Macaca fascicularis: one gene and its partners. The protein of the gene in region 5 interacts with the protein of the main gene of each other region in a pairwise test. Links are inferred from orthologs where the notes say so. Each region holds a gene or a part of one and is shown on either strand. Other genes may lie near its edges.

Region 1 (4,170 bases), on a different chromosome or scaffold from region 5:
AGGCACTGAAGACTGGCAGGCTGGAGAGTCTGACTCTATTGCCTAGGCTGGAGTGCAGTGGTGCTATCTTAGCTCACTACAACCTCTGCCACCCGGATTCAAGCAATTCTCCTGCCTCAGCCTCCCGAGTAGCGGGAATTACAGGCATCTGCCACCGCGCCTGGCTAATTTTTTGTATTTTTAGTAGAGATGGGGTTTCACCATCTTGCCCAGGCTGGTCTTGAACTCCTGACCTCTTCATCTACCTGCCTCGACCTCCCAAAGTGCTGGGATTACAGGGGTGAGCCACTGCGCCCGGCCTTTTCCATTCTCTTTAAAGCACTTCACACAAGTTATGTTACCGGTTTACTCACCAATATTGGCAGGAAAGGGAACTTCATGTACTGCTGGATCCAGGTTGATCACATAAGGTGGAGTGCCTTGGGCATGCAGGTGTCCTGTGAGCCTCTGCAGAGATATGGGGAGAAGGTTGGAAGGAGACAAAGAGGGGACAAGAGAGAACTTCCTTTACCACCCATGCCTTAAGAGTTTTGCACTTAGATTTTCTTTTACCTGAAATATCCACCCACTATATCCAACACCAAGATACAACTCTCAGTTCAAATGCTACCTTTCTTCATCACCCATCTAACAAAACTTCCCCTACTCATAGTCACTTGTTTACTTGTTTTGATTCTTCGTATGTGGGTTTTCTCTATCTCCTCCATTAAATATTTAGCCCCATGAATGAATCTTGTCAACCTAATTTTCGCTATATCCCCAGTGAATGGTACATAACAGGCGTGCAAGAAATAATTCTTCGGCAAATCTTCACCAAAACCTGTGTGCTAGCACTGTATTAATCTCTAAAGTTACTTGTAAGCCCCTGCCTTCAAGAAACTGGCAATTTTATCAGCAAGACAATTCCTGTACAACGTGGTAAGCTGACCGAGTATGCACTGAAGGTGCACAGAAGACAGCCTTAATTAACCTGGCTAGGGCCCGAGGAGGCTTTGCCGGGGAAGGAACTAAAGTTGATGGGAAACGACCGAAACCCATGCGCCGATACCCTCCAAATCCTCGGAGACCTCCCTCCCTTTCTCCCTGGCCTTCCGCCTGTCGGAGGCAACCTTTTGCGCTCCCCTACTACACCCACGCTGTGTACGTCACCTGTACAAAGGTGGTTTTCCCGGATCCCGCCATTCCCAACACCAACAGACACACTGGGTGCCGCGGACCCCCAGAAGCCTGGGGCTCAGCTGCAGCTGCGGGCGCCGCCATCTTCCTCCTGGCCCCGCCCACCTGACCATAGAGACACCGCATGGCTAGAGAAACTTCCGCGATGTTCTGGGCAGCGAACGAAAACAGAACCAAAGCGTCAGAAAGGAGCGTGAAGGGGCGCGGTAGTTGCCAGGGCATCTTCTTAGTATCGGGCAGGGCTGGTGAGCCAACTAGTGACAGTGGCGAGGAAGTGGGGGCGCTGAGCAAGCGAGAGGAAGGCTGAAGGGAGCTAGGAAAGGGCTCTGATCTCTGCAGCCTGGGAGGGCTTTTGTCCCCAGGGGGAAGGCGAGAAGAGATGGGGTCCCGAGGGCAGGACTCACACAGCAAGAAAACAAGGCGCATGCCTCTCATTTCGAGCCCGCAGAGAGCGGGGAGCGGAGCCACTGGAGGACCGGCTGCTCGGGTTTATTCGGTAGCCGAGGCGGTTAAACAGTTCAGGGCTGGACCAGCCAGGACTGGAGCAGGGTGCAGCCTCCAGGGTTGCTGGGCAGCACCGAGACCCTTTGAGCACCGAACGGATAAACTACGGGAGTTTTCCGCACTTGCACGTTGTTCCCGCGAGTTGCAGGCGCAGGTTCCTGATGCTAGCGCTCATTCCTTGGTAATCACCCTCGGTGAACTACGCAGTTGCCGTGACCTTCAGGATGAATGCTTGGATTCCAGGTGCGAATAGGTACTGGAGGGGAGCTTCCTTCTCACTGAAGGGCTCTCAGAAACTCAGGAAAGATGATGAAAGAGCTTAGAAAAGTATTTCTACTCGCAACCACCCAGTCTGTTTCTGTGGCCCTTTGTAGCTGCTAACAGTGTTCAGTAAGTCATAAGATCTGGCTTTCATACCCAGGCTCTGCCACTTGCTAGTGGTGTGAGTCATGGGCAATTCACTTAAACTCTCTGAACCTGTTTTCTCTTTTTAAAACTGAGATAGTACCTCCCAGGGTTGTGGTGAACGCACGTTGTAAATGATGAGCTAAATCCGTCATCTTTTACCACTAGCTGGATTCCCCTCACCTTGCATAATGTCTGGAACATTCTGGGTACTCAGAAATATTCTCTGGTATAAATAAAGGACAGTTCTGCACTTCCTAAAGTTTCATCAACTGAGAGAGGAATGTCTCATTTGTTCTTTCAGGTTTGCTGAGGGCCCCAGAAGGCTCCTTCCACCGTATCATAGGCTAATAAATAATTTTGTCAAGCCAGAGAAGCTAACAAAGGTGGAGACAATCCTTAAAGAAAAGATAGTGGCGGAAATGACGGTTCTGAACAAGCATATAAAACAAGCTCAAATCCAGCGGGAACAGCTACTGGAGGAATACAGGGAGCTATACCAAGAAAAGTTACTTGTCCAGGCTGAAAACAGGTTCTTTCTGGAATACCTGACTAACAAAACTGAAGAGTACACAAAGCAACCTGAGAAGGTATGGAACAGCTATTTACAACAAAGTGGAGAGATCGAACGAAGAAGACAAGAATCAGCCTCCAGATATGCAGAACAAATTTCAGTGCTTAAAACAGCGCTCTTGCAAAAGGAAAATATCCAATCCAGTTTGAAGCGGAAGTTGCAGGCAATGAGGGACATTGCTATATTAAAGGAAAAGCAGGAGAAAGAAATACAGACATTACAGGAGGAGAAAAAGAAAGTCCAAGCTGAGACAGCTGCAAAGACACGTGAAGTACAGGCCCAGCTCCTCCAGGAGAAAAGATTACTGGAGAAACAACTGAGCGAGCCAGACAGGAGGCTACTGGGAAAGAGAAAAAGAAGAGAGCTTAATAAGAAAGCCCAGGCCTTGAAGTTGGCAGCAGAGCGGTCTATTTTTGAATACTCCTGTGGCCTCAAAAGAGAGAACCAGCAGTTCAAGAAGGAATTACTGCAGCTAATTGAGCAAGCCCAGAAACTAACGGCTACTCAAAGCCACTTAGAAAACAGGAAGCAGCAGCTGCAGCAGGAACAGTGGTATCTGGAGTCCTTAATCCGGGGGAGGCAGAGATTGCAAGGAAGTCATAATCAGTGCCTAAATAGACAGGATGTTCCAAAGACCACACCCAGTCTTCCCCAAGGCACCAAATCAAGGATTAATCCAAAGTAACTCCTCCTAAAATAACACTGATTAGATAACTGGAGCAAGTACTCTTAAGTGCTACATTAACCTGGTTAGGAAGGCTTTTGGATTCCAGATTGTTATTGTAACATCTCCATCATGAGTGTTAGAGTGGAGGATTAGATGATCCAACAGTCCTACTAGATATTTGGTAACCAGCTTCCCTTAACTAGTTTTTTCTTGAAATACTCTCGTTAATAAGATATTCCACAAACCTCTAGTTAACCTAACACATGACCCTAACCTAGCCATTTACCATACATCAAACTAGCTAAAGGAAACCAACCCGAGGAAGTGAAAACAGTTGTGATTTATTTCATCTAACTAGATTTCTTTATAGAGAAAAAGTACCTTTAAGGTTAGCATTCCAAATAGACTGAATAGCGTTCTGCTCAGTAAATAACCAGTATCAGTTTATCCTCATTCCTTTTGACCGACTTAGCAGACAAAAGCAGTTTTTATAAGATTTTTGTAAGTTTGTGCCAGTGACCAGGTAGCTCCTAGTTTTCTCATGAGCGAAAAAGCATTCTGATAACAGCAAGTCCAGTAAGTGCTAGGCAGAGTGACCTTTCATCTGATGTGAAGCCCCTACAAGTTTAGCTTTAAGTAAATTGAGAAGGTAAGAGAAGATGAAGGAGACATCTATTAGGTCAGCTCTTACATTTGAAAATGTTTTCTTTGAAGAAACATATGTAGCATGGAGGTGACTGAATGCCTCCCCTTATTTCAGGAAAATGTATCCAAAAAAAGTTGAAATATTTGGACTTTTTAAAAAGTGTCATCCATTTCCCTAGCAGCATTCTAAAAGATAGAA
Region 2 (4,220 bases), on a different chromosome or scaffold from region 5:
AAAAAAAGTTATGGTTGTTTTTGACCCATTAGACCCGTCAAGAGACAGGCTTGGGGTGAATGCAATTTCATTCTGTCAGATTTGTGAGCAACCTTACCGTCTTTCCTTTCACCCATTCAGTGGCTAATGAGCTGGAGGCAATTGCAGAACCACAGCCAAATGTTTTAAACCTAGCATCCACAATTTTCCCCTTTTCATCCACTTGAATCTAGAAAAGAGACAAGAGTTAAGTGGTGAGTCCTAGGACCACCCTCTGGAACTTGGCACTCACGAAGGTTCATTGGGGCCTTCCCCAAGGGCTTTGGGCTTGCTTTCCATACTAAGTGATGGTATTAATTACTGATTTTGCCTTGTTTCAGAGAGCTCAGTGATGAAAAGTGAAATGCAGGGACAATTATCCAGGCCCAACTGACAAAGATCAGCTGGAAAATATGTTCCTCCACCCCAATATTATTTTGTTTTGCGACTCTGGCTTGCATTTTGGCTATGAACTTCTATTTGAGGCAGTCTGCTCACAGCTGCTGGGGCAATCTGCCTCTTAAACACTGAGAGAGTACACAATAAAGGTCTCTGGTTAATACTTTTTTCTTGGGCAGCAGATTATACTTAGTGGTTTCCTCCTGTTTTGTTTCTGTATTCCAAGATAGGTATGAAGATCTCTGGCAAGCTGCCCACTCACCATGAAGCAGCAGATTGGCGCTACAACAACAGTTTACCCAAAGCACTAGACACTATCTTCATGTTGCTCCCAATCTGGGGACAGGTTTAATTTACTGTGTTTCTTATCTCATTGGGGACTGCTAGCTCACTGGGATTTTCCTTTGATCAGTAAAATTCACAAAACTCTTTCGTTGGCTGAAGTTGGAATTTAAACTTATACAGTGAGTACAAAAATGAGATTACTTTTCTATTTCGGAAAAAGTCGGCATAGTACACTAGCCTGGCAGGAGAGCTACGATTGAGGCCCTGTTCCAATCACGTCTAACATGGACTCATCCCATCTCACAGGAATAAAGATGGAGACCGAGTGAAATGCTGTATGTGCAAGTGCTTTGTAAACTTAAAGGGATTATTGTTATCACTATTAAAGACTAGCCATACCTGTAATTTCATTACGTCACCACATGCTGGAGCCCCCACCAGTCCAGTTCCAACATTTTTAGATGTCTTGTCAAGGGACCCCACGTTTCTAGGATTTTCATAATGATCAACAACCTAAAATGAGAGGGTTAAGATAAATCGTGTTCACTCTCTATTGGTGCTGGTCTCTGGTATGGTGGCAAGCTCCTGGAAGTCAGCATCTTGAACCTGGCAGGCAATCACCAAATTTCACCTGAGTAGAAAGGTCTACACTCATGTCAGTGAGAACCATTTGTGACCCCCAATTCCTTTTGTGTCTCCTCTACAACTACTTCACAGATTAGCGACACCTAGAAGAAAAAAATATCAGTGAAATCATGTCTTAATTCCATAGGGTTTTTACAAAAATACTTGACTTTTACCCACCTACATCACCAGACTTGGGCTCAAACAGCAGTTTTGTTATTTTCAAATAAAAACTATCCTCAAAGGATGATTACTATTTAAAAATTCTAAAAATAACTATGGCCCAGGAAGGGAAAACTTTTAGAAGCCTTAAGGTGACTGTTACACAGAGAACAATGCTATGGAATGTGTACGTTTATGTGTCTTTCAAAATAAAAACAGTGCCATTACCGTATTTCAGAGCCTGTCATCACCCTGGTGCAGCAGCGCACCCTGGCTGCTGAAAGGCTGCTAGTCCAAGTTTCCTCGGGGTGTACCCTCAACGAAACACACCGCCGGGAGGGGGAGGAGTGAAGAAGCCCTTGGAGAAAGGGCAGAGGCCAGATCAGAATCAACATCCATTCGAACTGGCACACAGAAGGCCTTAATGTGGTTACTGGTTAGTAGTAAGCACCCCGATCTTCCAGTCCCCTTTTCCTCCCCATCTGACTAAGGATTTTGACTCCAAGTAAAGGCCCCTATAGGATAGTATCTAACGGAGGGACTTTTTGTGCCACGTTGATTTATGGCATTCTTTGTTTCTAGAGTGGGAGTCTCACGTCTGGGGGACTTTGCGTCACCAGACAGCAAGGGGCTGCAAACTATGCATCTATCCCTCCTTCCCCGCCAAAAAAAAACCCCCAAAACAAAACAAAAACACTACGCATGTTGGTTACAAGCCTGACTCCCCTATGCACTCCTAAAGCAGTAACAGAAACGGTCTCCTCGTGCTGGGGCCTATGTGCCAGGAACCATGACAGGACTCCATGCACAGTATCCTTTGTAAGAGACAGCTGAGAGTCCTCATTTACACCTGGGGAAACAAGTTCAGAGAGGCGCAGTGACTAGCGCAAGGTCATCTAGCCAGGGCAGCAGCGTGGCTGAAGCCGGAGCCCGCTCCGGGGGTGTGTCTGTCCCTGGACTCTAAAAGACAAGTCCCAACAGGACCCTGCCTCCTGGGCTGTTGGCGAATTTAAAGTTGGGACGCACGAAGTCGCGGCCAGCGGCGGGGCCCCCTGGAAGTCGCAGCCCGATGAGCGGTAACTGTTGTTTATCAGTTGCAGTGAGCCTCACTGCGCAGCAAGGGAAAGTGAGTCAGGGCAAAGACGTGGGAGGCGACAGCTAGTCCTGGCTGCGTAGAACCCCGCGGCCGCCGCTCCAGCCCAGGCCTCCCCCGAGTCGGCATTCCGCGTGTCCCCTCGTTTGTCCCTACCTTCTTGTGATAGAGTCGGGCCGGGGCCGATAGCTCCCGGGCGGGCAGGCGGGGGCTCCGGAGCAGCAGAGCCGACGCTGCCCGCCTCAGACGGCCAGCTCCAGCTGCCGCCATCTTGCCGGCTTGCGCCTGCGCCAGTCCAGAGCGATGCCGAGGGGCGGGGCGCGTCTGCGAGTCGGCGCCGAGCTGGGAGCGCGCCTCTCTGGCGTCACCGAGGCTTTGCGCCTGCGCCTTACCGTTCCGTGCAAGCCTCCGCCCTGTGGCCCCGCCTTGACCACGCCTCTCGGGGGCGGGCGGGGTCGGGAGCGGGAAGGTCTGAAGTCGCTAGAGGGCTTGTCCTGGGTGCTGGATTCTGGTTGAGAGAGGATCTCAGGCTTCTGCAGTGTGGGAATGCGGCGCAGAGGACCACTGAGTCCACTTTTCCTAACCCTATTTTGCAGCTAAGGAAGCTGAGATTCAGGGCAGTTTGGTCACTCCGTCCAAGGTCGCTTAGGGCTTAGGTTCAACTAGAATTCGAACTTGGGTAGTCCTGGGTTAGAATCCTGGTTCGGTTCCTTCCTGGCTGTGTGTCCCTAGACAAATGGTACCGGCTTGCTAAGTCTGAATCTTCCTTTTTGTATTAATTCGAGGACAATTCCTTCATCATGAAGCCAGCATCTGTGTTGAGTACCTACTATGTGTCAAGGCACTCTACTAGACCCGGGGATCCAACAGAAAGCAAAACAGACGTAATTCCTGCCCATTAAGCTTGCTAATGAGGGAGCAAGGTAGAGATAGAGACACACTCCAGTACTTGCCTACCTCAACAATGGGAAGCTTAAGAAGGAAACGAACACCATGTCCTGATTGAAAAAAAATGAGTATATGTCTATTTTTCTCTCTGAAACAACAGCAAATTCAATTTATATGTCGGTGCCTAGCAATTAAGAATTTCTAAAGAAATGCGTATTTACTGTTGGTTTGCAGTATGTGAGCTTATAAAACCGGAAAACTCAAGTGTATTTAACGCCTCCTAGGTACCAGATGTTTACATAAAGGGGAAGAATTTCTTTGGGAAATGGATTTTTCTCTTGAATGGTGAAATCGATCCTTCCCCGAGGACCTGCAGTTTTCTTTGCGTTTGAGGTGCAGTTGCTGGGGAGACTAAACCCAAGCGCCAGGTCACACTAGGCGATAAGTAAGGTATTTTTTCTAAGAATCACTTTGACCTTCTCAAGATGGCGCCAAATTCTTTACTACAGACACCACGCTCGCTTCATGACTTCCTCTATGGCCTCCACTTCCTGCCCAAAGACCCAACTTCTGTCCGAAGTTGTGACGGAACGTATGCCATGATAATGAGTTTTTTCTCTGGTGGGAGTTTTTACAGGGGTATAAAATAAAATGAATTTAGTGTATTTGGAGATTTTCTCGTTATCTAAGGTTCCCAGTTTCCCTTTCAGTGTCAAGAAAACGGGCTTTTGATAAGGCGCGCGCCGCGGGC
Region 3 (4,444 bases), on a different chromosome or scaffold from region 5:
ATAAATTGTAAAACATCTTCAGATACTTGTTCACTTACTGAACATTTATTAAACACCTACTATGTATCAGGGGCTATGCCAAGTTCACACATATGCATCTTAAATATCCCATGACCTCAAGGAACTCCCAGCGTAATCTGGTAGTAATGGCAAATGCACATAAGTAATTACAGAGCTACAGTAATTGTAGGGAAAAACCATAAAACCTCCAAACTCAAAGTATAGCATCTGCATTTCCTGGGGTCATCTAAGACTCCACTTCTCAACTCTGGAATCTGCATTTTAACAAGGATCCCAGGTGACTTGGATCTTTATTAAGATTTGAGAAGTGGCCATGCTCAGTGTCTCACGCCTGTAATTTCAGCACTTTGGGAGGCCAAGGTGGCCGGATCACCCGAGGTTGGGAGTTCCAGACCAGCCTGACCAACACGGAGAAACCCCATCTCTACTAAAAATACAAAATTAGCTGGGTGTGGTGGCACATGCCTGTAATCCCAGCTACTGAGGAAGCTGAGGCAGGGGAATTGCTTGAATCCCAGAGGCGGAGGTTGCAGCGAGCCGAGATCGCACCATACCGTAACTCCAGTCTAGGCAACAAGAGCGAAACTCAGTCTCAAAACAAAAAAAAGGTTTGAGAAGTGATGAACTCTGGGATTATAGAAGGAACTACGGGGGTGAAGGAGTTGGAAGGGGTGGGGGGCAGGAAGTTAAAAAAAAAAAGCAGCAACTACTATTGATCCTTGGGAAGTGGTAAGAGAAGTCTTCAGATGTGAGGGGTGATAGGAACATTCCAGGCTGAAAAATAAGCAGGCCCATGATCAAGGTAGTTAGAACTAGTAAGAGGTGTTCTGTTATGAGAAGTTTCGTCTGGGAGGGGCAGTGGGCACTTAGGAAAATATGGGAGATAGGGCAGAAAAAGTAGGCTGAGGCCAGAGACAGAAGGGCCACACTGACCCGCTGAGGGTTATGGAGGAAGCCACAGAAAATTTTAAGCAAGAATGTGACAAGACCAGTCTTATGTTTGGACATAACTCTGGTGGCAGAGTGGAGGACGAAATGCAGGAGAGGCTGGAGCAGGCAGGCAGGCATGTATCCTTAAATGAGCACCATTCACTTTTGGACTAGAAAGGAAGTCTGAATATTAAGAAGTGTAGAGGCCACAGGGTCCTATGCAAACAGAAAAGCAGAGGGTTCCAGCTGCAGTAGGATACAGGGGGGTTCCTTCTCAGCTCAGGAGTGTGGCCTTGGACTGGCATCTTCAGCATCACCTAGGAGTTAGAAACGCACATTCTCAGGCATCACCTTAGAAGTAGTGAGGGAACCTTGGGGATGGGGCACACAAATCTAGCTTTGAACAATTTTTCCAGGTGATTCTGATGCATGCTAAAGTTAAGAACCACTGCTCTAGCCCGCCAAAAATCATGTCTCAGGTGGTAAAGGCTTAAAACTGCACAACTTGCTTACCGTCCTTTTTAAAAAGAACGAGGGTAATAAGAAATGGGTTTCTATGTTGAGCGGGGCAGAACAAAAGCCACATACAACCTAGATTTTATATAGTGCCAGAAAAAAATACTGACCATCGTGTCCAAAAGCCTCATATTTGGAGAATTAAAGTAGTTTTGGTCGAGGCCATGATGTTCTCGGTAACCTAAATTAATTTATAAAATTCTCTCTGTTCCCTTTATTTCCCACAAAAACACCCGCAGCAAAAACGCTGGGATTCATCTCGGCCCTCTGAAAACCGTGTTTCCGACGCAACCGCCCATTAGAAAAACACAATTCCAAATTAAAAACCCGGAGAACTGAGCGGCGGGGCTGGCGCCACCGTCCCGGGACAGCGCGGCCTTTCCCAGCCACACCCCTGCGCGCCGCCGGCCTCCTTCCCCGGCAGTTCCCAAAGATAAATAAATCTTCCTTGTTTTTCCAGACCTGAAATTAACGGTGACTCACAGAACACTCTGCATGGCCACGGTCGCCTCGGGAAGGAGGAAAAATGTGCAGATTTTTTTCCCCTCACGCGAGGGCAGGACAAGCCAGGCTGGGCCAATCAGGGGAGGGCGGCGGGAATCGCACCAAAGTAGGTAAAAAATTCGGGAGGCGTCCCCGACGCCGCGGCCCGCGACTCCGCTCCCGCGGGTCCTCCCCCAGCGCGTCCCCCGTCCTCGGGCCCTACCCCCCACACCCCCAACATCTCTCTCCTTCCACCACTCTGTGTCCCTGTCTCTCACCTCTCCCTTATCCCGCTCCTCCCCCAACTCTGTCCACTCCCTCACCTCTCCCCTTCCCTCCCCTATCACCCCCCCACTAAGTGCCCCTCGCCCCCTCCCCCCACATCCCCCGCCTCTCCCCACTCTGTCCCCTCTCCCTCACCTCTTCCCTCCCCTCTCCATCCCCTTCTCCCCCAACTATGTGCCCTTCGCCCCTCCCCGCCAAATCCCCCTGCTTCCCACGCTCTGTCCCCCTCTCCCCCAGCTCTCCCCTCCTTTTCCCCTCCCCGGCCCCGCCCCGCCCCCAGCGGCAAGAACACCTGGCCAGGTGGCTGCCTCCCCCCGCGCGAGCCTTGCCTGCACAGTGGGTGGAGCGTCAGGGAGCCCCGCCCGAGGAGGTGAAGAAAGGCCACCCCTCCCCCATCATCTTTTGCCCGCCCCTCGCCAGCAGGAGCCAGCCTAGTAAGCCTTCTAGTCCCCTGCAGACGAGAAAGCACGTACCCTCATCCTTAAACACTTTCTAGTGAGGGAGACCCCGCCCCGCAGCCTAAACCAGGTGAGGGAAGTTCCCCTCCGGTAGTCTGGACAGCCGCCGGGCGGGGCGTTGCCGGACCGGCTGGTTGCGTAGCAACGGCGGGAGGTGCGTGACGTGCGCAGCCGCGTTCCGTCCCGAGGCGCGCCCGCCCCGGGGTAGGCTCGCGCCGCCGCGTCAGCTCAGCGCTCGGTCCCGCGGCTGTGAAGAGGACGCTCTGCAGACTCGCTGCCCGCCAGCTCCCAACCCCGCGTCCCTGCGACCGCCGCGGCGAAGATGGTGAGTGGGAGGGAGGCCGAGGCGTGGGCTGAGGCGGCCGGGAGCTGCTGGTCTCGGGGGCGCCGCGGAGTCGGGGATAAGGGGTTGAGCCGTGCCCCAGGCCCGGGAGGGACCCGGCCCGGCTGCAGTCTCCGGGCCGCGCGGTTGTGGGGCGGGGGGTCTCCGGGCCTTCGTCGCCAGCCATCCTGGCTGGGCCCTGGCGCCCCTGGGCGGATCCGCGGCCGCTGCGCAGCTCCCAGCTGGGGCGAGGCCGCCGCCCTGAGCGTGGCCTCTGCGGTGCCTCCAGACCGGGCCTTGCAACAACTGGCCGGGGTCGAGCGCCCCCACCCGCTCTGTGAAATCCATCCGGGGGGCTGCACACCGCGGCCGAGGAGTGGGAGGCGGGGGGCGTCGGAATCCGGCGACCGTCCTTGTTGGCGTGGGTTTAGTTCCCCAGAGCTAGCGCTGAGGCGCTCGGCGACTTGTGCGCGTTCCAGCCCTTGAGGTCTGTCCATCTCAATAAGGAAGCTAAAGCTTTTATGGAACAGCCCTACAGCACGGAATGATCGCTAACGAGCAGGATACTGGCATGATTTAGAACGGGGTGGCCTTGCAGCCTCTTTGTTTTTTTTTTTCTTTTTATCTGGCAATCGGCTTCCAGCAGCACTCTGGTCGTGCTTGTCAAGCTTGGCAGGGTCTCTTTTAACCCTTCCCTGCCCGATCTGTCCGTGTATGGTTAGAATTTTTTTTCTGACCTGTAGACAGTTGGACTCTGCCAGAACTTGGTGCGCAGGGTGTGGGCATGATGCTGGGATGCTGATACAAGCAAATTTAAGAGCTTTAAAAACCATTAAAATACTAGAGTCACCAAAAAGTAAACAGGTGCTCATTAGTATATTCTATATGATGGACATTTTGCTTAATTTACATATTTTCCCCCTTTACATTGTGTCCCTCTAATTAGCTATTTAAAAACAAACGTATTCTCAACTGAACTATCAGATGGAACATTTTGTCATTTTCTTTAGTCTGCACACACTGTTACCATTTTTGGTCAATGATTTGCAGGCATAGCCTTACCAGACTTTGCTAGAAATATTACATTCTAATTGCATCTGTCTGTCTAGAAGCAGTTGGTACCAGCTTATCTGCATACAAACTGTTTTCACTGTGTAACAGTTTTGGTTTTCTTAAGTTATTGCAACTTTCATGAAATGCAGGCGGCCCCTTAGTAAGAAGAAAAGATTAACCGGTACTTTCTTGATGACTGTAGGTATGTATGTAATAGGGATTTGATACGGTTCAGTTTTTGGTTTTTCTTTGGTTTAATGCTGTAAGCTACAAAGTATCAGCATCTTAAGTCTAATATTTAATTATTAAAAATTTAATAATATTTTAAATGTATATGCTATTTTATACTAAAAGACTTAATCTAGGGGCTTATGAG
Region 4 (3,714 bases), on a different chromosome or scaffold from region 5:
CTGAAAAGACAAAAAGAGCCTCCCCTAGCTAGACTCAGATGAGAATGTCAAGACACCTGAATGCAGACCCTGGGAGCGTGCCTGATGCAGCCACAGAGCAGGCTGGCTGTCCGCGTGAGGGGATGCCGTCCCAGTCTTCCACAAAATGGGGTGCTTAGCCCACAGAGAGCGCACTGTCTCCGATGGACAGCTGCATCTGCCCTGCCTCCCAGGGCAGTGTTTCTCCTAGTATGGTCAGAGTCAGAATCACAGTGCAGGTCCAGGGCCCTCCTGCAGAGACTCCTATTCAGGCAGTTCCCTGCTAAGAAGGCCCTGGGTGACTCTGGCATAAGCAGGCTCTTTACACTTGGGGAAACAGCACTATGAGGTCAGCGGAACTGACGTTTATCAAGCATCTCCAAGTGTCATGCACTTTGTGTATGTCATCTCATTTCACCTCAAAACAAACCTGTGACCCAGGCAACATTAGCTCCACTTTACAGATGAAGAAACTGAGGTTCCAAGAAATTAGTTAACTTCATCAATACTAAGAGGCAGAACTGAGCTTCAGACCCGAGACTGGTGGGGCTTCAAAGACAGGACTCGTTGCAGTGCCAGGTTAGAGGAAGTCACCCGGCAGTCCCCCCGCCCCGACATTACCTGCATGATGGCACTGAACTGGGGCTCATTCTCCATCTGCTCCTCAGAGATCCCCCTCTGGACACTGGCCAGCACGGTGGACTTGAAGAAGTACCTCCAGTTGTGATGGAGTGTCCGGAAAAGGAGCTCAAACAGCTCAGCCTTCACATCAGGGGAGGGACGCTGCAGAGACACACAGACGCTCAGATCTGCAGCTTGTGGAGCCGCTCTGGCCTGGGCCCAGGGCAGCAAAGATGCCTAGGAGATGCCTCGTGACAGTAAACCAAGTGTCAACACTCCATCCACATGCCTGTCACTGCCTGCGCAAAAGACATCCAGCCCCTGGAGTCCTGTCACTGCCTGTGCAAAAGACATCCAGCCCCTGGAGTCGGCGGTTCACACCGTGAGTTCTTCAGCAGAGACAGGGCCCACATTTGAGAGAGAATGCATGGGTCAGTGCCAGGGGCCCCTTTTTCTGATGAGCACTCAGCTTTTACACTAGAAAAAAGCTACCAAGTGGATAAACAATTAGGAGTATGGATTTTCTGTTCTATTCGACCTGTCAGATCATCTTGCTTGTTCCTTTTCCCAGGATGAAAAATGCTGTCCCACTAACCTGTTGGTCTTACACAACCACAGAGGCTAAAGACAGTCCCAATGCCTTAAAGTGATTCTGCTCCCCAGAAGAGGAGGGTTTAAAGAACACTTGGGAGCCAGGCTCTCTGGGCCAGTTTCTTTCCCAGCAGCCAGGATTCTGAGAGGAGGTAGAGGAGAAGGGGCAGGCTCAGCAGTGTTTTCTCATTGAATCCAACACCCGCAATCCCTTATTCCAGATGTCTCTGGAGAATTCAAAAGCAGAAGGCCCACATATGTTCAGTTCAGTGTTGATTAAAATTAAATAGACACCAGGGGCCACAAGCGTCCACAGAAGAAGCCTCATAGGCCAGTCTGTCCCATAGACCAGACCTGTGCCAGTCTCAGTTCAGACAGTTAAAGATTAGCTCTTATTTATATGACTATTACCAAAAAAACTGAAATTACATCTATACTTATTCCTGGTCTTATCATGCTGAGTGCCTGCCTGTTTTCTAAGGACTAAGGGCTTTCCTGTAACATTAAAAGGTTTGTTTGAATGGTTTCAAGAACTTGCCTTGTATCCTTGAGACCATGAATGTTTCTAATAGGAAAGTACATATGTTAGAATGTTTGCTATAGAAAACCAGAGTCTCTTAAAGGTATAAATTATTTGCTGCAGGAGACTGATCTTAGCAACTGACCCTGTGGAATAACTGCTGTGCTTACACTAGACTAGTTCCAATGAACTCGATCAATATCAAAAGACTGTACCACGCTAAAGGCCTTCTTCCTTGGGAGAAATTACTTTACTAGCATATTAAACTAACAAATGAACTTTAAAACACAATCCATTTTCTGTGAAATCTCACTCCCTTCCCAATCTGGAGATGGGGGGCCGCACAGGGGACTGCCTGAGCCCCTACCTCGGCGATGATGGGATACACCTGCTCCATGCACAGGGCGATGATGCTGGGGAGGAAGGGCTTGAACACCTGGCCTGGCTCCTGGACCACCACCTGCAGGATCTTCAGAAACTTCTCCACCACCCGGCAGCCTGTGCTCCCCTCATGGAGGATGCTCTCAGCTAACTGCTCTCTACAGATGAGAAAGCCACACAGTGAGCAACCACATGTTTCTCTGGGGGTCAGCATGAAAACCCATGCTGTGGCAAGTACAGAACAGGAGCAAAAAGCCACACTTTGTCGCCAGACCCACTACTTCTCCCTTGAATCTGAAAACCATGGATGGGGGGTCTGTGGTTACCTGGTAAACATGTTGAGGAAAGTCTGTATGATTTGCTCAGTGAAAGGCACGCCCATCTGTACTCTAAGGCCCCGAAACAGAGTGAGGAAGAAGCTTAGCATCTCATCAGTCACATCTGGGGAAAGGGGCAGAGACACCGTCACAGGCTTGCACACAGGGAGAACCAGAACCCTGGGCTTCATCGACCTACTCCTGAAATCTGCACTATCAGCTTTCTCTACGGCTTCCTGCTGGAAACATTTCCCCAATACCATCAGGGCCAGTGACAGAAAGTGGAAAATGATTAGGGACATGCTGAGAAAATAGTTCTGGTATAGGGAACCTCCACCTGGTGGCTCACTACAGGAAATGAAGGTCATCTCGAACCCTTCCTCATTGCCCGACATCCAGTGACAGTCAGAGTGTCACTGGAGAGGGATCACTTTGTGCCCACAGTGATGAAACTACTCAACTGGGTCAACCCCTGAGTGCTTAAGTCATTTCCCCCTATGACTAATAATCCCTGCAGTTGGGTCAGAGGTTGAGTGGTTGAAAGTGGATAATGAAGGTGTATTTAGATTGCATGCCCCTGGTCCATTAAATGGACTAATTGCAGAAAATACTGCTTACATTTAGGGCAGTTTCACTTCCAGATCTCAACAATCATCTTGTGTAGTGTTTCAGCTCTAACTGCACGCAATCTGCTTGCAAGAGGCAATGAATATTTGCTGACTGAGAAGTGCTTGATATTTCTCTTGTAAAACTGACAAGACTACTATAATGCTCTCATGAGAGCTGGGCAAGTACATCCACAGAGCTAGAGAGGCCCTCTATCACTGACAGTGACAGACAAGGGTGAGGGGAATGATCTCGGCAAATGCGCCTTGCCACAAAATAAGGAGAACTAAACCAAAAAAGCTCTCTAGCCTTCTCTTGTAGGTGCCAAGGCCCATATGGAGGGCTCTGCTCACTTTTCCATAGGACCTTGGCCCCAGACTCCGCAAATAAACACCACTGCCCTTTCCCTTCAGTACCGGGTTTCGTTGCACGGAGCCAGTCGAGGCCTGTACTGCACTGACTCAGTGTGCTTTACAGATCTAAGTGGGCATTCTGGCCCTTGTTAGCACCACCCACCAGTGGGGCTCTGGGCCAGCTCCTACCTGACTGATGGATAAAAGCTGGAAAGAGGGCCAGGGAGACCTGAACGGATTCCTGCAGCGACTGGTAGCAAATCTGTCGAGACTTGGTGGACTCCCCCGAGATATTCTCCACAATATC
Region 5 (4,482 bases):
GGGGCTGGGGTAGGGCACGTCTCTGCGTCCTTACCACTGGCAGTCTGTCCAACAGTCTACCCTTAATTCCATCTGCTTTTGCTCAAAAACCTATACTGAGAAGTGGAAGGAAGTTGGACTTACTGCACAGCAATGGAATGAGAACACATCCACCTTAATTATAGCAGTAACAATAACCACTTTTATGCAGCACCTACTGTGTCCCAGGCACTAGTCTAACTGCTCGACGCGGATTAACTCATTTAATCAGCCCTATGAGGCAGGCAGTTTTTTTTTTTTTTTTTTTTTTTTTTTTTGAGACAGGGTCTCACTCTGTCACCCAGGCTGGAGTGTGGTGGCACAATCTCCGCTTACTGCAACCTCTGCCCCACCCCAGGGTTCAAGTGATCCTCCTGCCTTAGCCTCACAAGTAGCTGGGACCACAGGCACAAACCACCACACGCAGCTATTTTTTTGTATTTTCTGTAGAGACGGGGTTTCACCATGTTGCCCAGGCTGGTCTCGAATTCCTGAGCTCAAGCAATCTGCCCACTTCAGCCTCCCAGGGTGGTGGGATTACAGGCGTAAGCCACCGTGCCTGGCCCAGAGGCAGGTACTCTTAACACCACCTTGTACCACAGGGGAAACCGAGGCACCGGGAAGGGAAATGGCTACGGTCACACAGCTAATAAGAGGGGTGCAGTCAGGTTTTGAACTCATAAATCTGGCTCCAGAGTCTATGCCAAGGATGTATAAAATTTGGCTTCCTGGGGCTACATCGCAAGAACTGTCTTAGGCCACACATAAAATAACACTAATGATAGTTGATGAGCTCAAAAGGAAAAAAAAAAACACTCGCAAAAAATTCGTATGGTTTAGGAAAGTTTACGAATTTGTATTAGGCTGCATTCAAAGCTATTCTGGGCCACATGCAGGCCCACGGATGGGACAAGCTCAGTTTATGCTCTTAGCTGCTACTCTGTATACTGTCTCAGTGATAACACAACCCCTACAAGCTCAAGGAAATATAGGGCAGGTGCTCAAAAGCTGGCAAAGTGGACAATAAGTGCTCTAAGGGAAGGTGGTCAGATCCCAAGAAGGGCTTCCTGCCCGCGACAAGTAAGGGAGGAGAAAGAAGCTTGTGTAAAACGCTCAATACCAGGATTCCTCCACCTTCTCTGGACCTTGATTCAGTCTCCTAACTGCCACAGAAGGGATGAAGGCTGAACTCCAGCTGGGATGTCCTGACGTGGATGGGACAAGGTGGGTTTCTGCAAGAGAGAAAAGACTGACATCCACCTCGGCTGGTGGAGGGCCCTGTGCATGAGAAGGGGCAAGATGGCTACCCTCTGACTAAAGGGAAACGGAGATCTTCCATTTTTGGCAGGGTTGGGAGATAGTTCCTATCCCGTGGAAGCTAAGGACTGTTTGAAAGGAAGCCAAGGGCAAGGGATGGAGAAAAGGACGCAGCTGGGGCCTCGATGTCTGAATCCCTGCCAGGGGATGGGGCCTGGGCACCCATCATTTGGAACGGAAGATGAGGATGGCCGGAAACAGACACTTCAGAGGAATGAGGGAGACAGAAGAACGACAGCAAGAGTTAGACAGTCCAACGTCTGCGGCTCTTGTAAGGGGGAAAGAAGAAGTGAGGCTGGGCCCCAATAAAATATGTTGAGGCCGGGCGCGGTGGCTCACGCCTGTAAGCCCAGCACTTTGGGAGGCCGAGGCGGGCCGATCATGAAGTCAGGAGATCGAGACCATCCTGGCTAACAAGGTGAAACCTCGTCTCTACTAAAAATACAAAAAATTAGCCGGGCGTGGTGGCGGGCGCCTGTAATCCTAGCTACTCTGGAGGCTGAGGCAGGAGAATGGCGTGAACTCGGCGGAGTTTGCAGTGAGCCGAGATCGCGCCACTGCACTCCAGCCTGGGCGACAGAGACCGAGAGACGTCATCTCACCAAAAAAAAAAAAAAAATTGAACAGGAACGTATGAGTTGAACTCTGTGCATAAGGCTTGCCAGACACCGTCTTGAGTTTCATAAACCCACCAGGAGAGCTGATTTTTCTTATTTTACTTATAGGGAAATGAAGCAAGAGAACTTAAGCTATTTGCCCGAGGCCATCCTGGTAGGTCTGTGTTTGGGAGAGTGCTGTGACTCACGCTGGACTCTAACCCACGAGGGTTTCTCGGGGTCAGCAGTTGGGGGATGAAAACATGAAAAGTGTGGCTGACAGGAAATTCTGCAAGCAGGGAAAGGGAAACAGAAATTAAATGGTGCAGGTCTCCGGGAAGAGAATGAGACTGGATCCACCAAATCACAGGAGGAAGCAGGCCCAGACCTCACAGGCAGAAAAAGAAAGAAACCAGAGTTTAGGAGGAAACCAGACCCCGGAGCTACGAGAGGGCCGGATCCCTGGCTCAAAAGGGAGGAGGGGCCTGGACCCTAGGAGTGGGAAGGAAGAGGTCGGATCCCCTGATCCCCAGGAGGAGGGGACCGGGCTGCCACCCAGTTGGGGCCCCGCGAGGGCGGGGCGCGGAAGGATCCGGGCGGGCCATGCTGCGCCACCCGAAGTATATCTGTCCCCAGTCCCCGGGGCCGCCTCATTCCCCGTCCTCAGATCACGGTCTCTTCTAACTACAGCGTTCTCCGCCTCCGCCTGCGTAGCCCCGGCCATGGCTCTGTAGCCTCGACCCCTTTGTGCCCCCAGCCCGACTCCGCGCTTACCACGCCTGCGCTCTCCGCTCCCACCTTCTTTCTTCAGCCGAGGCCGCCGCCGCCTCTCCTTGCTGCAGCCATGGAGTGAGTAACCGCTTACTTCTCCCTCTCCAACCGCCTTTCCCGCCCTTTCGCAGCTCGTGGCCCTCTTTAGGGAGCCCTGGGGGGAGGGGAGCTGCGAGCGGGGAATCACGGTCGCGCAGGCGCAGAAGAGGTACGGTGGGCCGAAGGCGCGCGGCTGCGCATGCGCACTGGGCCCGGAGCCGGGTGGGAGAGTTCTAGAGACTCGATGTTTGTCAGCCGGCGTGTGGCTGCGCCTGCGCACTCCAAGGGAGGGTGTGGTCTTTTTCTAAACGATTCTGTGCGTGCTTGGTTGTTCCTGCGCAGTAGCCTACCAGTGCCCCGTAATTAATGAGCGCGGGCCCTGAGTGTCCGCGCATGCGCACTGATCCCCAAGAAGGCGGAGGTGTAAAGCAATTGGACAGCTCGGAAGACGTAGCATGCGCTTTGGCCCTTGGCGCATAGCCGCGTGTGGACGGCTGGCGTTCGGGTAGCAGTTCTCTGCCTGCCCCCTCTACCCTCCTCCACCCTCCCTGCTCCACGTTGCTCTGGCTCACAGCCCAACTTCCTTCCTTTTAAACCAGGCACCTGCTGAGGCGGGGACTGGCTTAGATTGACAGGGGAGAAGGCGGGGCTTAGAGGCAGCCCTCTAAGTGGGTGGGGCTAGAACCACTGTCGTCACGATGGGTGGGATTTCGTGAGCCCATTGTGAGAAGGGGCGGGGCTAAGCCAACCTTTAGCTGAGGGGTGGGGCTTCGATGGGACAAAGAGGCGGGGCCTCTGGGGAATCGGAGAGGGGCGGAGCTAAATAAACAATGAGGGGCGGGGCTTGGAGGGGCAGTGGCAAAGCGAGGAGTGGGATTTGAGTGGATAACATTGCTGAAGGGCTGGGGCCTGGGGCAGTTCCCCTGGGCACTGGTTTGGGATGGAAGCTAGGAAGGCAGTGGGGCCAAAAGGAAATATTTTAGGGCAAGGGGCGTGGCTGGAAGAAAATGTCCCTGGAATTGAGTTTTTCCATGATGCGGAATATTCTGAGGTGGATGGGAAGGGCCTAAGGTAATTCCCCTGGGAGACCCTTAGGTTTCCGTATTGGGGGAAAGGGTGGGGCATCGGTCCTACCTTAGGACCTAAAGAAATTCCCTTGGGAGTGGGTGGGGCTCAGATTTGGGTAAAGAAAGGGCAAATTTAGAATTCGGAGAGGCTGAGGCTTAGTTATAAACTGTGGTTGGAAGGGGGAGGGAGGAGCCCCGTGGACGTGCCTGGGGGTGTGGCTTGGCTTCCCCATGATTTTGGCCGGTGGATGAGGCTTTCCTGACCCCACGACCCCACCCACTCTTGTCTCACACGTGTAGGTCTTCCACTTTCGCCTTGGTGCCTGTCTTCATCCAGCTGAGCATCCTCCAGAGCCTCGTCCCAGCTGCTGGTGCAGCGGCTCCTGTTGCCATCAGTGCCCTGCACCTGTGCTACAGCGCCCTGCACCTGTGCTACAGCCATGTCACTCCTGGCCACCCTGGGGCTGGAGCTGGACAGGACCCTGCTCCCAGCTAGCGGGCTGGGATGGCTCGTAGACTATGGGAAACTCCCCCCTGCCCCTGCCCCCGTGGCTCCTTATGAGGTCCTTGGGGGAGCCCTGGAGGGCGGGCTTCCAGTGGGGGGAGAGCCCCTGGCAGGTAAGGGCAGGTGGAAGGTGGAGCAGGGGAGTGGAGGGCAGGGGAAGATGGGGGAG
Region 6 (4,429 bases), on a different chromosome or scaffold from region 5:
GGTTGCAGTGAGCGGAGATTGTGCCATTGCACTCCAGCCTGGGCGACAAGAGCAAAACTCCGTCTTAAAAAAGAAAAAAAAAAAACAAAAAACACATAGCTAAAAAGAAATATTCATGTCAATGGATACTAAAAAAGAACAAATAACAAAATATATTAGGTTTATTGGTAAATGAAGTCCCACACCACACATATAGTAATCTTGTGAATATAGGTAACCAAAAAGCAAACTGTGAAATAAAGTGTCATTAATTTGAAATTCCACGTAGGAATTAATTAGTTCAGACAAAGCACAGTACTTATAAACAAATGTGTCAGTGGAAATTAATTTACTGGGCCGGGCGCAATGGCTCACGCTTATAATCTGAGCATTTTGGGAGGCGGGCAGATCACCTGAGACCAGGAGTTTGAGAACAGCCTGGGCAACATGGTGAAACTCCGTCTCTACTAAAAATACAAAATTTAGCTGGGTTTCCAGAAGGTTTTCAATTTACTTTGCCCATATCCATCAGAGGAATAACTATCTATAGTAGCTATAGATAGTAACAGTAAATGAGCATTGACTTCAACTTAAAGTCATCAGCTGCATTGGCCCCTAACAAGAGAGAAAGCCTGTCCTTTGAAGCTTTTTTTTTTCTTTTTTTTGGATGGAGTACAGTGGTACCATCACAGCTCACTACAGCCTTGACATCCCAGACTCAAGTGATCCTCCCACCTCAGCCTTCCAATTAGCTGGACCACAGGTGCACACTATAATGCCCATCTAATTTTTAAATGTTTTGTAGAGATCGGTTCTTGCTATGTTGCCCAGGCTGGTCTTGAACTCCTATGCTCAAGCAATCCTCCCACCTTGGTCTCCCAAAGTGCTGGGATTACACGTGTGAGTCACTGTGACCAGCTCCTTTCAAGCCAGGTAATACTTCTCCTTTCTACCTATGAAAGTCTGAGATGGCATCTTCTTCCAATAGAAGGCTGTTTCATCTGCACTGAAAATCTGTTGTTTAGTGTACCCACTTTCATTTTCTGCAGCTTCTGCATCAGTACTTGCTGTTTCACTTTGGACTTTTGTTATAGAGAAGGTTTCTTTCCTTAAATCTCAAGAACCAACCTCTGTTTTTTTTTTTTAGATAGTCTTGCTCTGTCACCCCGGCTGGAGTGTGGTGGCACAATCACAGCTCCACTGTAGCCTCGACCTCTATGGCTCAAGCCAGCCTTCCTTCTCAGCCTCCCAAGCAGCTGGGACTATAGGTGTGCACCACCACATCCGGCTAAATTGTTTTGTATTTTGTAGAGACAGCATTTCACCATGTTGCCCAGGCTGGTCTCAAACTCCTGGGTTCAAGCAATCCACCCACCTCGGCCTCCCAAAGTGCTGGGGCTACAGGCATGAGCCATTGCACCTAGCCAACATTTGCTACTTTCAAACTTCTGCAGCTTCCTCACCTCTCAGCCTTCACAGAATTGAAGAGAGTTAGGGCCTTGTTCTGGATTAGGCTTTGGTTTAAAGGAATGCTGTGGCTGGTTTGATCTTCTACTCATACCACTCAAACTTCCTCCATATCAGCTTATAACTGGAGTAGCACTTTTAATTTCCATGTATTTGTTTGTTTGATGGAGTTTTGCTCTTGCTGCCCAAGCTGGAGTGCAATGGTGTGTTCTCAGTGCACTGCAACCTCTGCCTCCCGGGTTCAAGTGATTCTCCTGCCTCAGCCTCCCAAAGAGCTGGAATTACAGGTGTGTGCCACCATGCCCGGCTAATTTTGTATTTTTAGTAGAGATGGGGGTTCACCATGTTGGTCAGGTTGGTCTTGAACTCCTGACCTCATGTGATCCACCCACCTCAGCCTCCCAAAGTGCTGGGATTACAAGCGTGAGCCACCGCGCCCGGCCCCATTTTTTTCTTCATATTCACAATTTGGCATGACTTCACATGCCTTCCCAGCTACTCGGGAGGCTGAGGCAGAATGGTGTGAACCTGGGAGGCAGAGCTTGCAGTGAGCCCAGATCGCGCCACCGCACTCCAGCCTGGGCAACAGAGTGAGGCTCCATCTCAAAAAGAAAAAAATCAAACCAACAAAAAAAAAGGAAATGCTGTCAACAGACTTGCTCAACAAGTACATGTCAGTTCCACGCTCCTCAGTCTCATAAAGTCAGGGACTAGAGACCAATCTGTAATTATCAATACGTACCTGCCTTTGAGTGAACCTTCAATGCCAACTAGGAAGGGCGCTTCCAAAACGACGTTATTTGTAACTCCTAGGAACACAAACACGGGTCAGAACTCATACTCTGCGGGCCTTGAAATGGAAAATCTCTCCTCTAGACAGACTCATCCCCGCCATAAATGTCAGGAGACTCCCCAGTTCCCTGCCCCATCCCCAGGCCAAGGAGTTATGTGCTTCCAAATTTTCATTCCGTTTTCTTCCCCAGGTGGAGAAGGCGGGAACAACCTCTCGGGCTAGCCTCTGCCTTTCCCGAACGCCTCACTGCACTCACTGGAGAAGACCACGGCCCCAAGGGACCGCGACAGGTCCCAGGCGAGGTGCACCGAGTCGGCGAGCACGGCGTGGCATTGTGCGCACTGGAAAACAGCGCACCTCTCAGGCTGCAGCCAAGACGGCAGCTGCGAGACGGCGGCCGGCTCCTCAGCCCCCAGCCCTGCGGGGCCGAGCGGCGAGGACCCCTTCACCACCTGTGTATCCCACTCCATGGAGGTCGTAAAAGATGCTTCGTCAATCGCCCTCTCAGTGCCATCACAAAAGTCACCCTGGGGCGGCGTTGCACAAGGGGAGCGATGCCGCCGCGGCTGAAACGCCATCTTCTCTCAGCCGGCGCCGTCGTTTCGAATACACGCCAGGCCCCGCCCCAAGCACAGCTCCTGCGTCCTCATTGGACATCGTGGGCAATCCAAGCACTGGAGTCCCAGTCCGCGCACTCGTTACCTGAACCGGTCTTACAGGCCCTTCGGCGCCTGCGTATTCGTGAAGTGTGAGAAAAGCGCGCGACTGTTGGGACGGGAAATCAGCCTTTCTATTGGTCAGGGTTAGAAACCCCGCCTTTGAGGCATTTTCAACCAATGGAAGCGCGGCATTCTTCATTTAAACTGTCTATAAATTTCAGCTTAGTCAAAGTTAAGAGTGGCGCCAGGGATTTGAACCTCGCTTACGAGACTTGGTGATCCATCTTCTGAGTATCGCCGGGATTTTGAATCGCGATGATCATCCCCTCCCTAGAGGAGCTGGACTCCCTCAAGTACAGTGACCTGCAGAACTTAGCCAAGAGTCTGGGTCTCCGAGCCAACCTGCGGGTACGACGCTGGCGGGGCAGTTCCCTGGGCGGGCGCGGCGGGAGTAGCGGCCTCAGGGAGATGCGGTGCGAAGGGACCGAACGGGAAGCCCGGGGACTGAAGCAGCCGTCCCTGCCCCTCGGGCAGTAGATGTGGTTCACGGTGGTCCCAGTTAGAACTCTGATAAACGGAAGAGGAACTGTAGTTTTCACCTCATTTTGAAGCTGGCTTGTCTGGGTGCTCACATGATAAGCCTCTGTTCCGAGGGGTGGTTTGTTGTTTTTCGTTTTTTGTGTTTTTTTTTTTTTTTTGAAATTACTTTATACCTCTCAGGTCATCGATTACGAAACGCAGGCCCAGAAAGCAGAAGGGGTGTCGTTAATCGTTAGACAATTAAGTAAATAATTGGCTCAGCTTCTAGAAAACCCCACACAGACTTCAGTGATTTGTAATATTGCCGATAATCTCTTGATACTTTATTGATGGACCTGTCAGGGGGAAAGAAAAAATCGACTTTTAGGGGACCACCTCCTTGGGTAAATTTTTATAACTCAGCCCTGATCTAGTATACTCATGTGCTTATTGATGACTGTTGTGGTGATGGTATCTATCAAAACCAGTAAGGTCTTTGACTCCGAGGCTACAAGATGTTAGGGGAATTGGCCGGGCGCGGTGACTCATGCCTGTAATCCCAACACTTTGGGAGGCCAAGGTAGTTGGATCACCTGAGGTCAGGATTTCGAGACCAGCCTGGCCATTAAAAAATTAGCCGGGCGTGGTGGCACACGCCTGTGATCCCAGCTACTCGCCTGTGATCCCAGCTACTCGGGAGGCTGAGGCAGGAGAATCGCCTGAACCTGGGAAGCCAAGGTGGCAGTGAGCCAAGATCGCACCCACTGCACTCCAACCTCGGTGACAGAGCGAGACTCAGTCTCAAACAAAACAAAAACAAACAAACAAACAAAAAACAAGATGTTAGAAGATTTGGGGATTCAATGTAGGATAGCGGTTTTATATATTTTGTTAATAGTTGAGACTTCCCACATAATACTGCTGTGTGCTCTCTAGGTTTGTCCTGCAGGCTATGATACTGACACTGAATAAATGCCTAAATCAGTCGTCACAAATGTTTTTCTTTTCTTTT
Region 7 (4,182 bases), on a different chromosome or scaffold from region 5:
CACACAACAAAAATCATTCAGTTAGTTGAATTTGTTTTATAATTTTATAATTAGACCATGAGATATTTTAAAAAGCAATCCAAATGACTGAGTTTAGAAAATAAAATGAGATTACAGCACCTCTTGAGAGTGTCTGAGGAGGCCTCTTTTCCTTCTTTATTGCAATGGCAAGGTTGGAAGAAACTGCGACGAGTAAGAGGCAGAGAGCCAAAGCTGAGTGTAGCATCGTGTCTTCTAGAGAATCTCTCAGAAGAAGCTAGATGACAGAAAGGAATTCTCAGAATCTAGTGAGTTGCTTCAAGCTATTATTAAAAGATATTTGCTAAGAGTTGGACCAATACTGTGACGACAGACTGTTCTGCTTTTTTGGTTTGACATGGTATAACCAACCACATAGAACTTTCATTCACATTTTATTTTTAAAATACTTAATCAACTCAATACATGCTCAGTTGGTGAGAAGTCACGTTCTGAGCATCCTGGGCATAGTGCTGTATAATTAAAAGACAGCTGGTTCAGGGCACACAAAGCCTGCTTCTGAATCGCCCTGTAGTGTTCACACCACCAAGATGAAACTCAAATAAGATTATGTTTTTTAATGTCTTGTAAACTATAAAGTGACTTTTAGCATGCAGAAATATTCTTTGCCTTTTGATTCTCCTGTATCTAGTAGGTCAAAACATTTTGACTCTATACCAAGATAAGATTATACATGAACAAATATTGCTTAAAATAGAAATCAGAGGAAAAATAGAATATGGAGGATTCTTGTCCTTCAGTTCCTTTATAGTTTCTTACCTTTCTCATCCTTTCAACAATTAATCAGAATTTTGCCCTTCAGTTTATAATACAGCTCTTTATAAAAATAAAATACTGTCATATTACTATACATTAGACATATGTATAGAGAAGCGTAGACGTGCCATGATTACATTCTCTCCTGGTTAGCTAGAATTCAAACCGATTCTTAACTCAATGTGAGTCTTTTATACTTTGCGCATTAAGATAAAAACTAAAGTCCAAAGTTGGACCTGATCTGGATCTGGTCATAAACCACTTGATAAATATATTACAGGAAGTCTGTAATACTTGTGAGATGTTTAGTTACAGCATTAGCATATAAAACTCATTTGAAAATGGTTGGCGCATGCAGTTTTGAAACTTTACCTCAAAATATAAAATAAATATACAGATATCCTTCACATTTATTTAAAGTTCCTTTAAGATGTCTTTCCTATTGACTTACATTATTTAGTATTGAATTTGTCACCAAAATAGTAAAATTTCCTTAGCCAAGCGAGTCTCCTGCCTTGGTCTCCCAAGTAGCTGGGGTTATAGGTGTGTACCACCACACCTGGCTAATTTTTCTATTTTTAATAGAGACGGGGTTTCAGCATGTTGGCCAGGCTGGTCTCAAACTCCTGACCTCAAATAATCCACCTGCTTCAGCCTCCCAAAGTGCTGGGATTACAGGGGTGAGCCACAGCTCCCGGCCTCCTTTCGTCTCCCCTCCTCTCCCCTCCTTTCCCCTCCTCTCCCCTCCTTTCCCCTCCCGTCCTCTTCCGTCCTTTCTTTCCAGGCATATAAAAACCCTGTTAAATAATGATCATGGTGCCTGATAAGGATTTCAGTTTAAGTTTCCATAACTTATTAAGCCATAAAACATTTCAGAATGTCATCTTGTACCTTAAGGCCTCGGTCATCTTGTACTTTAAAGACTGAAACAAAGAAAGGGTGGATTTTAGTAGAGGACAGGGACATTTGACTCTGGAACATGAAACCCAACCCAGCAAAGGCAGCCGTAGTTAGACAGGTTGGGAGTTGCAGTGGAGGAACTGAAGTAACCATCTAGGACAGGATCTTAACCTGAATCCAGCAGGCTTCTAGAAGGCCTGTGGATGAGCTACAGAAGGCTCAAAACCCCTGGAAATTGCGTGCAAAATTTTATCTGCCTGTTCCTTTTCCATGGGAATAGGGTCCAAAACTTCATTAAAATTCTTCCAGGGATCTTGGATATAAAGAAGAGTTAAGAAAAGTCAATCTGGAGGGCACTTTAGAAAGATTTTTCTATGTTAGGTACAGAGACAAGCAGGTGGAATCTGCATTTTAAAAAAGAAAAAGCATAACTTCATCATTTTTGCTATTTTAAAGCTGCCAAGCTTAGAGTTAGGTGGGAACATTTTTTTCCTTAAAATTTCAAATATTTATGTATTATTGTCAAATACTTTCTAATTAAAAAATAAAAATCTTGGTTTTCTGGTTTTACATTGATAAATTATAAAATAGGTATTAAATATATTCTGTGACAAAGCAGTACAACTTGTACATTATAGATTTTGAATAAATAATGCTTTCCTTGGTAACATACACTGTAAATTGCTGAGGGTCCTTTAGAATCAGTTGCAAGGTTAAGATACTTGGGGGAACACAGATAAATATGGCATGGTTACAGGCCTATAGCAGCTTAAAATGCATTTGGGAGGCATATAACCATATGCCAGAAATTAGGTTGTATAAACATTGGTCAATTAGCATTTTCTGACATTAGTATTTTATTTTTCAAAAGTAATTTAACATAAGTAACTGATATTATAAGCACCTATATTTTAAAATAAAACAAGACTTAAAAGACTATAAAGAAGAGCTATTAATACTTGTAGAATAATTTTTAAAGAGTTGTTTTTGTGGTTGATGTCAATTTATTCTAATACCATTAATATAAATAGAGATAAAACTATGAAACTAGCAAAGGAAATCCAGTTCGGTAAAAGAAGAAAATTAAAAATTCATTTCACTTTCCCAGCCTTTACTGAAAGCTTCACTTTTATATAGCAAAAGGTGATTATTTAAATATTGCAAAGCTTGACCACTGATTAAGTAATCTGGAAACTTTGCTTGCTTACCTGACTTGGCCAGTGCTCTTGTTGGAAATGTACTCTGGATGTTTCTGGTTAAAAATGGGTGTGGATTTATAGACACACACACACACCTGACCTACAACCTCACCTGCATAGAAACAAGAGCATAGTTACCGGAAAACAAACTTTAGAAAGTAGGCTGGTCTGAAAAACTCTGTGCTTCTTTCCAGTTCTCATGCTTCTCACACTAACAAAGCGCTTTTCTTTTTGTCTAAATTCAGATTGAATGTCCTCATAAAATGAGGTTAAATACCATCTTTGTGGTTCTTTCTCTTTTACTTTTTATTTCCCAAGGTAATTTAATGTTTGGCTGAAGTTCAGCACACACACACAAAAAAAAGGAAGAAGGAAACCGGACTGAATTTAAGAACTGTGTGCATGCCATTGTTCTTGATGTGAGTGCTGTGAGGCTTGCAGATTAGAAAGAAAGCAAATAGAAATTCCTAAGGGTTACTCTGTTTACAGGAATATAATTAACAGCTAAAGAGATTGAGTCCTTTTTTTTTTTTGAGAGAGAGAAGGAAATAATTCTGTTTTAAAATTGAACATTTTCATCATTTGATTATTCTTTACAATTTTTCTATAAAACCTTTACTGTGCACAAAATAGAAAACAGCAATTAGATGAGTTTAAATTTATCTAATAGATACTATTTAATTAATTGACAGTAATTATTTAATTACTGTTAAAATAATGTAGGGCAGGATGTCATCAGATTTGTTTTTTTGCACAGCCCAGGAAACAGGAACGATTTTGACATTTTTAAACGGTTGGGGAAAAAAACCAAAATAATCATATTTTGTGATATGTGAAAGTTATATGAAATTCACTTTCAGTGTCCATAAATAGAGAGAGATTTGGCGGATGGCATGCAGCCATGTGCATTTACTTACTAGTGTCTATGGCTACTTTTGCACTGCAACAGCAAAGTCCGGTACAGTCCAGGACAGTGGATACCAAAATCTGTGCACACTAAGTCCCATATCTGGCCCTGCGTAACCCACAGATACGAAAAGTTGGTCCTCCATATGTGCAGGTTTGGCATCCCGTGAACACAGTATTTTTGATCCACTTTGGCTGTGGATGCAGAACTTGCTCATATGAAGGACTGTATTTATTTAAAAAAAAATTCTCCTCTATGTGAACCCACACGATTCAAACCTATGTTGTTTAAGGGTCAGCTGTGCTTGTGACAGGGACTGTATGATCTGCAAAACCGAAAATGTTTACTATCTTTAGTAAATGTTTACAGAAAATGTTTATT

What was found.
Region 1: the proteins of NUP62 (region 5) and CCDC121 interact in binary tests that used the Homo sapiens proteins (3 or more experiments, as listed by UniProt). The two-hybrid records come from large-scale screens. The link is inferred for Macaca fascicularis from reciprocal best matches to the Homo sapiens genes NUP62 and CCDC121.
Region 2: the proteins of NUP62 (region 5) and ISCU interact in binary tests that used the Homo sapiens proteins (3 or more experiments, as listed by UniProt). The two-hybrid records come from large-scale screens. The link is inferred for Macaca fascicularis from reciprocal best matches to the Homo sapiens genes NUP62 and ISCU.
Region 3: the proteins of NUP62 (region 5) and BFSP1 interact in binary tests that used the Homo sapiens proteins (3 or more experiments, as listed by UniProt). The two-hybrid records come from large-scale screens. The link is inferred for Macaca fascicularis from reciprocal best matches to the Homo sapiens genes NUP62 and BFSP1.
Region 4: the proteins of NUP62 (region 5) and XPO6 interact in binary tests that used the Homo sapiens proteins (3 or more experiments, as listed by UniProt). The link is inferred for Macaca fascicularis from reciprocal best matches to the Homo sapiens genes NUP62 and XPO6.
Region 6: the proteins of NUP62 (region 5) and OIP5 interact in binary tests that used the Homo sapiens proteins (3 or more experiments, as listed by UniProt). The two-hybrid records come from large-scale screens. The link is inferred for Macaca fascicularis from reciprocal best matches to the Homo sapiens genes NUP62 and OIP5.
Region 7: the proteins of NUP62 (region 5) and AGR3 interact in binary tests that used the Homo sapiens proteins (3 or more experiments, as listed by UniProt). The two-hybrid records come from large-scale screens. The link is inferred for Macaca fascicularis from reciprocal best matches to the Homo sapiens genes NUP62 and AGR3.

The regions. Positions count from the first base shown.
Region 1 is NC_088387.1:94,604,879-94,609,048, forward strand, and holds the start of CCDC121 (coiled-coil domain-containing protein 121), read left to right. Parts: upstream 1-1,318; 5' UTR 1,319-1,555; coding exon 1,556-1,923; coding exon of another isoform or gene 1,924-1,933; intron 1,934-2,389; coding exon 2,390-3,344; 3' UTR 3,345-4,170. Other genes in the region: GPN1 (GPN-loop GTPase 1), read right to left, coding at 354-447, 1,150-1,260.
Region 2 is NC_088385.1:115,395,304-115,399,523, reverse strand, and holds the start of ISCU (iron-sulfur cluster assembly enzyme ISCU), read right to left. Parts: upstream 2,879-4,220; 5' UTR 2,852-2,878; coding exon 2,738-2,851; intron 1,847-2,737; exon of another isoform or gene 1,216-1,846; coding exon 1,102-1,215; intron 209-1,101; coding exon 98-208; intron 1-97.
Region 3 is NC_088384.1:69,719,942-69,724,385, reverse strand, and holds the start of BFSP1 (filensin), read right to left. Parts: upstream 2,822-4,444; 5' UTR 2,709-2,821; intron 2,000-2,708; exon of another isoform or gene 1,930-1,999; intron 1,269-1,929; exon of another isoform or gene 1,115-1,268; intron 1-1,114. Other genes in the region: DSTN (destrin), read left to right, coding at 3,016-3,018. UniProt on the Homo sapiens protein: Required for the correct formation of lens intermediate filaments as part of a complex composed of BFSP1, BFSP2 and CRYAA. Involved in altering the calcium regulation of MIP water permeability.
Region 4 is NC_088394.1:27,187,152-27,190,865, forward strand, and holds part of XPO6 (exportin-6), read right to left. Parts: coding exon 3,597-3,714; intron 2,573-3,596; coding exon 2,458-2,572; intron 2,290-2,457; coding exon 2,118-2,289; intron 802-2,117; coding exon 640-801; intron 1-639. UniProt on the Homo sapiens protein: Mediates the nuclear export of actin and profilin-actin complexes in somatic cells.
Region 5 is NC_088393.1:57,910,482-57,914,963, forward strand, and holds the start of NUP62 (nuclear pore glycoprotein p62), read right to left. Parts: upstream 2,915-4,482; 5' UTR 2,706-2,914; exon of another isoform or gene 2,584-2,705; intron 1,251-2,583; 5' UTR 1,139-1,250; intron 1-1,138. Other genes in the region: ATF5 (cyclic AMP-dependent transcription factor ATF-5), read left to right, coding at 4,249-4,426. UniProt on the Homo sapiens protein: Essential component of the nuclear pore complex. The N-terminal is probably involved in nucleocytoplasmic transport.
Region 6 is NC_088381.1:17,880,705-17,885,133, forward strand, and holds the start of OIP5 (protein Mis18-beta), read right to left. Parts: upstream 2,848-4,429; 5' UTR 2,818-2,847; coding exon 2,496-2,817; intron 2,256-2,495; coding exon 2,189-2,255; intron 1-2,188. Other genes in the region: NUSAP1 (nucleolar and spindle-associated protein 1), read left to right, coding at 3,214-3,306. UniProt on the Homo sapiens protein: Required for recruitment of CENPA to centromeres and normal chromosome segregation during mitosis.
Region 7 is NC_088377.1:113,324,378-113,328,559, reverse strand, and holds the start of AGR3 (anterior gradient protein 3), read right to left. Parts: upstream 2,944-4,182; 5' UTR 2,904-2,943; intron 1,719-2,903; exon of another isoform or gene 1,687-1,718; intron 257-1,686; 5' UTR 227-256; coding exon 121-226; intron 1-120. UniProt on the Homo sapiens protein: Required for calcium-mediated regulation of ciliary beat frequency and mucociliary clearance in the airway. Might be involved in the regulation of intracellular calcium in tracheal epithelial cells.